Canis lupus familiaris: one gene and its partner. The protein of the gene in region 2 interacts with the protein of the main gene of each other region in a pairwise test. Links are inferred from orthologs where the notes say so. Each region holds a gene or a part of one and is shown on either strand. Other genes may lie near its edges. The genes, in order: SHFL and TNS2.

The links.
Region 1: the proteins of TNS2 (region 2) and SHFL interact in binary tests that used the Homo sapiens proteins (3 or more experiments, as listed by UniProt). The link is inferred for Canis lupus familiaris from reciprocal best matches to the Homo sapiens genes TNS2 and SHFL.

The regions. Positions count from the first base shown.
Region 1 is NC_049241.1:51,360,708-51,365,299, forward strand, and holds the start of SHFL (shiftless antiviral inhibitor of ribosomal frameshifting protein), read right to left. Parts: upstream 3,001-4,592; 5' UTR 2,871-3,000; coding exon 2,850-2,870; intron 2,408-2,849; coding exon 2,284-2,407; intron 2,098-2,283; coding exon 2,048-2,097; intron 430-2,047; coding exon 391-429; intron 224-390; coding exon 74-223; intron 1-73.
Region 2 is NC_049248.1:44,543,274-44,547,072, reverse strand, and holds part of TNS2 (tensin-2), read right to left. Parts: intron 3,789-3,799; coding exon 3,738-3,788; intron 3,408-3,737; coding exon 3,285-3,407; intron 3,186-3,284; coding exon 3,121-3,185; intron 2,643-3,120; exon of another isoform or gene 2,540-2,642; intron 2,263-2,539; coding exon 2,179-2,262; intron 1,747-2,178; coding exon 1,634-1,746; intron 1,542-1,633; coding exon 1,481-1,541; intron 1,243-1,480; coding exon 1,167-1,242; intron 934-1,166; coding exon 804-933; intron 714-803; coding exon 648-713; intron 552-647; coding exon 438-551; intron 327-437; coding exon 1-326. UniProt on the Homo sapiens protein: Tyrosine-protein phosphatase which regulates cell motility, proliferation and muscle-response to insulin. Phosphatase activity is mediated by binding to phosphatidylinositol-3,4,5-triphosphate (PtdIns(3,4,5)P3) via the SH2 domain.

The DNA of each region.
Region 1 (4,592 bases), on a different chromosome or scaffold from region 2:
GGGGTTGGGCTCTCAGGGGTTGACATTCTTAGGTCAGAGGTTCAGATACTGAGGATGGGGATCGGGTGATCACCTCCTTGCGCTGGGGCACGCGCCGCCACCAGACGTGGTCACAGGAGGAGCAGGCAAACTGCCGATCGACGGCGGGAATGAGGTCTTCTTGCGCACGTTGGAACATGCGGAGGTTGGCTTCTGTCAGTGGCAGGAGGGACGTCGCCACGGCCTTCGGGATAGGGACAAGAGGGTGGTCACGCCTCCTCCGCTAATATGAACACGCGTAAGTCTCCTCTCCTGCTGCTATAATGTCTCTCCTCGTCCATGGACACCATCCACTCTCCCCAAGGATGTCCTCCTCACTCCACCTCCCCCCATCCCATACCCCGGACTCACCTGGATGTCCTGGTCCTGCTTCATGTCCTCCGGTGGGTCCTGGGTGGAAACATCAGGGGCAGGAACTGCGGGTGCAGCTCAGACCTCTTTTTACCATTATTTGTTGGGGGTGAGGCTCCTGGACGAGGAGGGAGGCAGGGTCCTGGCCCCATATGAGTAGGGAGTCCCTAACTCAGGAAGGGCTGTCTGAGCAGGGCCTGCCTGTAGATGGCCAGGTACACGACCTCAGTTGTCCTCACAGTGGAGGGCACACCTATTATCCCCACCGCTCAGACAAAGAAACTGAGGCAGAGCTGGGAGAGGGGTGGCCGGAGATCACCCTGAATGAGAATGGCAGAAGAGGCCTGGATCCCCGCGCTCCCTCCCTGCTGGTAAATGCCACACACTTGGTGGCACTGTGAGGGGTCACCTCTTTGAGTCCATGCCGCTTTAGGCTAAGGGCTTGGGCTCTGGATTCAGACAGACACAGGTTCCCATCCGACTCCAGCACTTCCCGCTGCGAGGGCGGAGCCAAATCACTCCCCCTGCATCCCTAATGAGGGGCATCTCAGAGCGCAGCTATGGTTCTAGGTGGAAACGGCTTAAATGCCACCTGCTTGGCCTGCTTGGCGAGTGCCTTCAGGTTGGAATTGGAGGCAACACGCGGAAAGCCTGCTGCTGGGGAGTGCTCACTTTCCTATAATTTTTTACTTTTATTTTTAATTTGTTTATTATTATTTTTTAAAGGATTTTATTTATTTATTCATGAAAGACACAGAGAGAGAAAGGCAGAGACGTAGGCAGAGGGAGAAGCAGGCTCCAGGCAGGGAGCCCGATGTAGGATTCGATCCTGAGACCAAGGATCACGCCCTGAGCCAGGGGCAGGTGCTCAACCGCTGAGCCACCCAGGCGTCCCTCCTATAATTTTTTAAAGAATTATTTTCAGTAGGCTCCACACCTGATGTGGGGCTTGAACTCACGACCCTGAGATCAAGAGTAGCATGCTCCCCAGACTGAGCCAGCTAGGCGCCCCTCCTATTACCTTTATCATACCCTTTACACATGTAAATATAAATAACTCAATATGTACCTTATTATACTCTTCAGCAACTATGGGGGGGGCCTTATAGGAAGATGAAATGCACAGTGCACTGGCCACCAAAGTCATTTAAGGTGTAAAGTAGCCATGTTGCATTTGTGCCTCAAAGCCATTCATTCATCATATGGGCTCCCCTGCCCTCTCTCCTCCCCCATCTCATGTTTATCTTAGCCTGTCTTGCGTGTTCTTTTGCTCACTCTGTTCCCTCTTCCAGGAAGACTGTTTCCAACTCCCCCACCACCCAGGATCCCTTCTCCCCAGCATCAAAGCTGGCACCACCTCTTCCAGGAAGCCTTTCCCGACTGACCTCCAGGGGTCCTCTGTAATGACATCAGTCCTGATTCATTTCACCGCCCAATTTCACGATTCTCTCCCCCACTTAATACCACCAACATGTAATGAGTGCCGACAGTTTGCAGGCTCCCGGGTCAGACGCATGACTAAAAGGTGACTAAGTCAATGTGGATCATGAACTAGGAACTGGTGGTGCACAGATGGGGCTCATCATGGATACACCAGGTTCCTTCCGTTCCCGGTCCCCAGCTACCCCATCCTTGGAGGGCAAGAGGGGCAGTTTACCTGGGCATCCAGGTCATTACTCAGTTCCTGTCCATCTTTCTGCTTTACCCCTGGTGGCAAGAGTTAAGTGTAAGTAAAAGGTCCTTGAAGGATCTTCTGGGAGTTTCAGGGTCCCCAGAACCCCAATATAGACCCTCCCCAGAAGATGAGCGCGGCGCTTCTTCACACAGACCACACCTCCCTCGCGCGCTCCCCCCTCCTCTCCCCTACCAGGGCCGGGACCCCAGCCGGCTCACCGTACACGATGGAGCGCCCCACTCCGGTGTGGTCGCTGCCAAATTTCCTCATCAGAGTCCCCGCCTTCTTGGAGGATACCTTCCCATGAAACTTCTCCCGGAGGCGCCGGACGCTTTTCTCCAGCTGGGGTGGGCACAGGGGGGTTCCGATCGGGGAAGGAGAGGGGCGACTTGCCCTCCTCCATCTCTAGGCATCCTTCTCCCCGCCCGAACTTGACCCTTGCTTTTGGCCTCCCCCACCATCCCTCTACGGCATTTCCTGGGAGAAGCCAAAGTCCCCACCGGGCATTGGGGGAGGGAGCGGAGTGGGGCGAGCGCCCCCGGCTAGGGGAGGAGGCCGGCCAGGTAACCTGGCCTCTGACCCTTGACCCTGCAGCCCCCCTTTTCCTCGAGGAGGCCGCATCTCACTCTGGGGGGCCGGGGCGGTCATTATCCTTTCCGAGGGGGGGCGAGTGCCCGCCAGGGGTAAGGTCTGGGCTTCGGATGGAGTCCCCAGAACTGCGAAGCCCCCTCGGCGCCCCCGGCGCCTCTCGGGGGCCCCCGGCCCAGGCGCAGGCATCTCCTACCTCCACACCTTCTTGAGACATGGTGGCGGCGGCGGCGGCGCGGGTTCCGCGAGGGGCCGCACTGCGCGCTCGGAGCCCCCCTACCTGGGCGCGCCCGGGTCCAGCAGCCGCGCAGGGCAGGGGGCGGGGCCTCCGGGCGGCTCCGCCCTTCCTTCTCGGCCCCCTCTTTCGCTTTCGATTGCTGGGGGTGACGGCGTGGACGGGGCGCTCTGGCTCCGCCCCGGCTCCGCCTCTGCCCTCGCGCCCCAGGCCCCGCGGGCGCCGGGGGTCTGCACCCTGCGGCGGAGCGCGCGGGCCTCGGGCGGTGGAGGCGGCGCGGCCTCTGCAGTCGGTCACATGTCCCCACGCTGCGCGGGGTCCGCGTCTTCACGTCCCTCGTGGGGGCGGGGCCGCATCGCAAGGCCGCCGCGAATCTCCGGGCCCCCCCCAGCTCGCGCTTCCCCACTTCATCGCTCTCGCAGCTCCCCTCCCTCGGGACCTGGGGCCCCTCCTCGCTCTGAGGCTCTTCCGCGGCTACGTCCGGACCTGTCTGCACCTCAGTTTACTCCTCTGTAAAATGGGGATGATAACAGCGGCTACATCGTGGCTGGGTGTGATTGCCAGGATTCGAGACCCGGGGTGGAGCGCTTAGTAGCACCTGGCATGGGGTAGCCTAACGAGTCACTAAGCCGCCTACTGTGTGCCACAGCTGGAGGTAGTTGGGCGAAGGAGGAGATGCTTGTTGGATAAATAGAGGTCACTGGTGCCTAGCAGTCCAGCAACAGCCTGTAGTCCAGGGGTGCCTGGGAATCTGCACTGTAAATCGGAAGGTTGAGAATCCTCTGGGCCAGCACAATTTTTTTTTTCCCCTGAAATAGGCTCCACACCCAAGGTGGGGCTTGAACTCGTGACCCTGAGATCAAGAGTCACATGCTCCACCCACTGAACCAGCCAGAGGCCCCTATTACATAAAGCTATTCTTTAACACACACGCACACACACACACCAAAAGAAACGGAGATGAAAAAGTATAGATGTTCTAATGTTTTCTACTTGACCTCCAAAGCTTTGTTTGTGGGTCTGTGTGCCCCGTCTGGAGCCTATTAATGAGTGTAAACAGTTCATGGTTCTTTGTGACTGAATGTGGAATTTCAGGCTGAGAGCCAGGCCTGTAGCTGCATAGAGGACCTGGGATTTTATACTGAGGGAGGTGGGGAGGTGTGGAGGGGCTCTCTTGTTATACACGTATCTGTGATATATAGTACATAATCTCCACTTACCAGTGAGGAGAAGGAGGTCGCAGCCAGGGTGGGTGACAAGCAGGGAGGAAACAGGTGGGAAACTGATCCAGCTCCGACATGAACCAGATCTGCTAGATTCTTTCTTTCTTTCTTTCTTTCTTTCTTTCTTTCTTTCTTTCTTTCTTTCTTTCTTTCTTTCTTTCTTTCTTTCTTTCTTTCTTTCTTTCTTTCTTTTCTTTCTTTCTTTCTTCTTTCTTTTTTTCTTTTTTTTCTTTTTTAGAGAGAGGCAGTGAGCCTTTGAACAGGGGGAGAGGGGAGAGGGTGAGGGAGAGAGAGAATCTTAAGCAGGTTCCACACCCAGTGTGAGCCCGAAGTGGGCTAGATCTCACAACCTGGAGATCACATCCTAAGATGCAACCAAGAGTTGGGATGTTTAACTGACAGAGCCACCCAGGCATCCCCAGATCTGCTAGATGCTCACGATGATGGCCATCATATCGAGCTCTGACTCTGCGCCAGGCAC
Region 2 (3,799 bases):
CGGCGGGCCCGCGGCCGCGGGGGGCTGCTCCTCGTCGTCCAGGATGGCCGTCTCCCGCCCGGCGCCCCGGCCCGGCCCGGCCACCCCGCAGCCCCCCAGGAGGCGGTCCAGCTCCTGGCGCTCGGCGGCCGTCGGGGGAGGCCGGCCAGGGGACTCGGCGGCCGGCTCGGCGGTCAGCGTGGACGAGTGGCCGGAGTCGCTGCTGACGGAGAGCATGGGGGGCGGAGGTGGCTCCGGGGAGGGTGCCGGCGGGGTCTGGCGGGGGGCCCGCTGCACCTGGGCGTAGGGACTGCCATCCAGAGGTCCCCGGGTGTGGGTGGGGGAGCCTGGCGGGAGAGGACCAGGGAGGGAGTGAATGTCGGGGCCTGCCGGAGGCTCCAGCTCAGGGGCGTCTGCGGCGGGGAGGGAGGGAGTGGGCGGCCGGGCCGGCCCCGCACCGTCCACGCTGTCCTCGTGGTGCTGATTGAAGTGCTCGTAGGAGTCCCAGCGCACGGCGGGCTCTGCGGTGTTGTAGTCAACGGAGACCGAAGGGTCATTCCGTGGGGTGCTGCCTGCGGAAGGGCCACCCAGGTGTTGAGGGCCGGGGTGTCACCTGCAGCCCCGACCTGCAGCCCCGACTTGTAGGCCCGACCGGGGCTGGCTCTCACCTTTGACCTTTTCAGGGCTGGAGGAGAAGACGAACTCCACGGAGGCTTGGAATGGGAACCTCTCATCTGGGAGGGGAGGCGGGGGACACGGTGAGGAGCCAGGTCCCCTGGCCGCCCCCTCCCCGGGCTCCAGCCCCACACCTGTCTCCCACTCACCAGCCCAGGCCTCGTCCAGCTGGTCCTTGGGGAAAGTGAGCCGTGGTCCGTGGATGGTGCACGTGTGGAACTGGACTCGAAACACAAGGGTCCGGTCTGTCCCCCGGCCACCCTTGTGATAGCAGGTCACCTGGATGAGGGAAGGGAGACCGGGGGTCAGGCCTTCCTGTCCGCTGGCGTCCCCTCTGTGCTTCCGTCCTGGGGACTGTCAGGCTGCGGCTCTGCCCTGCCTCAGCTCAAGGCGATGCCCTCGCTGGGGACGGGCTCTCCGCCGGCCAGTGGGCCTCTGGATGACTCACGGGAGACCGTGCAGCTGGCGCGTTCGCCCCCCCATGCACCCCCTCCCCAGGATGGCCCCCTCACCATGACATCGCCCTTGAGGAGGAGGGCCGGCTCCAGGCTGATGCAGAGCTGCTGCGGCCCGGGGCCGGCGATGTGACTGAGGAGGAGAGGGACGGGACAGAGGCTGAATGGGAGGCAGTGGGGCTGGGGTGGCGGCGGGGGTGTGGGGCGTCAGGAGGGAGCCGCGAGCCTGGGGTCTGAGCCCCAGTGAGACGCCTCCAGCTTGCTCAGCATCAGCCTCTCCCTCCTGGTGCACCAGGTGCAGTGGCCGGAGCTGGAGGCGGGGGCGCCTGGGGAGGCTGGAAGGGCAGGAAGGCCGGGAGCAGAGCACTCACTAGATTCCCGAGGTGTAGACCAGCTGCATGGACTGGTAGATCTTGAGGAAGGGCTGGAAGCCTGGAGGGGCAGGCGGGAGAGGGCGCGGAGGGGCGCTCAGCGGAGGGGCTGGAGGACAGGCCTCCCCGCGGGGCGCCTCGGGGCACACTCACCGGTGCCGGGCTCAAAGGCTGGCAGCACGGGCACGAGCACGTAGTGCAGGAAGAGGGGGCTGCTGTTCATTCTGATGGAGCCGGACAGCAGGCCGCTGAAGTAGCTGATGTACCTGCGGGGGTCGGGGGCAGGAGGGGGGGACGTAAGCCTCGCCCCTGGAGGTCCCTCTGTTTCATCTCTACTAAGCACACCCCTGCCCAGCCTTGGAAGGCCGGCCCTTCTCAGCACGCCCCTCCCGTCTCCCGGCTCACTGGAAAGTTCTTCCTCACATCTAACCTCAACCCTCTGCCGTCTCAAAGGTCTGTAGTTGCTGGCTCCCCCGCCTAGCCTGCTCTTCCCCCCAGCCCTCTGCTTCCCATGACGAGGTGGGCTCCGACTGTCCTGCAAGTCTGTCTTTCCCACAAGCTCCGTGAGAGCAGGGACCGTGTTGGGCCTGAGTTCTCAGCGCAGGCCCTGTGTCCCGCGGGTGTGCTGCTCCTACGAGCGACCCTCGGCCTCGGGGCCCGCGCTGCTCCGGTGGCCCAGCCCCACCCCGGCTGCTCACCGGCGCTGGGAGGGCTGCAGCTCCGCGGCCACCTTGTCCTCGCAGAACTTCCTCATGGTAAGCGTGGCCAGCGCCTGGTCTGCCCTGGGGACCGCAGGGCCAAGTGTGGGGGATTAGGGGCTGGTATCTGTCCAGGCCTCCCAACCCCAAGCCCCAGGGGAGGGAGGAGATGTGTGATCCCCTAACTCTAGAGGAAGCCCCGGGGTGGAGGTGGAAAGAACTAGAAGCCCCACATACAGTCACTTGACTACTCGCTGGACCTCAGGCAAGTGTTCCCTGAGTTTTTAGTTTCCTCCTCTGTAAAACGGGGGTGATGAGACCATGTTATGGGTTGAACTGTGTCTCCCCAAAAGATATGTACCTCAGAACGTGACCTTATTTGGAAATAGGGTCGTTGCAGATGGAATTAATTAAGATGTTATACTGGAGTAGGGATGAGCCCTTAATCCACTATGATGGGTGCCCTTAGAAGAAGAGAAGAGACAGACAGACACAGACACACACACAGGAAGAAAGCCACGTGATGACCGCGGCGGAGGCTGGAGGGACGCAGCGGCAAGCCGAGGAGCGCCAAGCACTGCTGGTCACCACCAGAAGCTAGACAGGGGCAAGGAAGGGTCCTGCTCGGGGTCTCAGCGGGAGCGCGGCCCTGCCGGCCTCTCGGTTTTAGACTCCTAGTCTCCAGGGAGACAACTAGTTCCTGTTGTCTTAAGCCACTGAGTCAGTCTGTGACATTTTGTTACAGCAGCTCTGGGAACCTGATACAAATCCTCTGCTGGGAACTGTGGTGAGATACAAGTGAAAAAAGGAGGTGGAAAGGCCAAGTTTATAGGAAACGGCTCTCCAAACACAAAGGGGGGCTTCAAGGGGGATGGGCCCATCACCGGCAGCTGGAGACAGGGTCACTGGGGAAGGGGCCGGTCAGGGGCCAGGGAGCCTCACCCTGCAGAGATCTTGCTGTAGTGCATGTAGGCGGAGACGATGACGCCGAGCTTGCCCTTGCTCCCCTGAGGACAGGGGGAGAGAGAGAGAGAGGGGAATGGAGGGCCAGCCGGCGCCCCAGGCTCAGGGCACCCCAGCCCCGTGAACCCGAGGTCCCAGCCCACCTTGCAGTACAGTACGACCACGTGCTGTGGGTCAGCACTGAGCCACGTCTCCATGGCTTTGCAGATGGAACACAGCTTGTCCAGGGGGGGCGCGTGCAGCTCGGGCCAGCCGAAGTCCTGGACCTGGGCGGGTGTGGGGGTACAACTGAGGGTGGGGGCCGCGACCGGAGAGAGACGGGTGGGGCTGGAAGAGGGAGCGGGTGTAGGGTCAGTCGGGGCCAGGGTCAAGGGGCTCTTGGTCCTCCAGGAGAGCCTCACACTTGCTCGCTGGCACATGGGTTGGTACCTGCTGCGCCATGCTTTGGAGTGTCTCGGGGAGCAAGTCATCCGGGAAAGTGCGTAAGAACGAGGTGGATGCCAATCGCTACTATTAATGAGGCTGCAGGGGCTTGGGGGGGGCAGTTTGGGGGGGATTGGGGGGGGCTCAGCTTAATGGCTTTAATCCCCTCCTACCTTGGGGTTTAGGCGGGTCAGGTCGTGTCTTTTCTCTGAAAGGTTGAAGAGCTGCAAGCGAA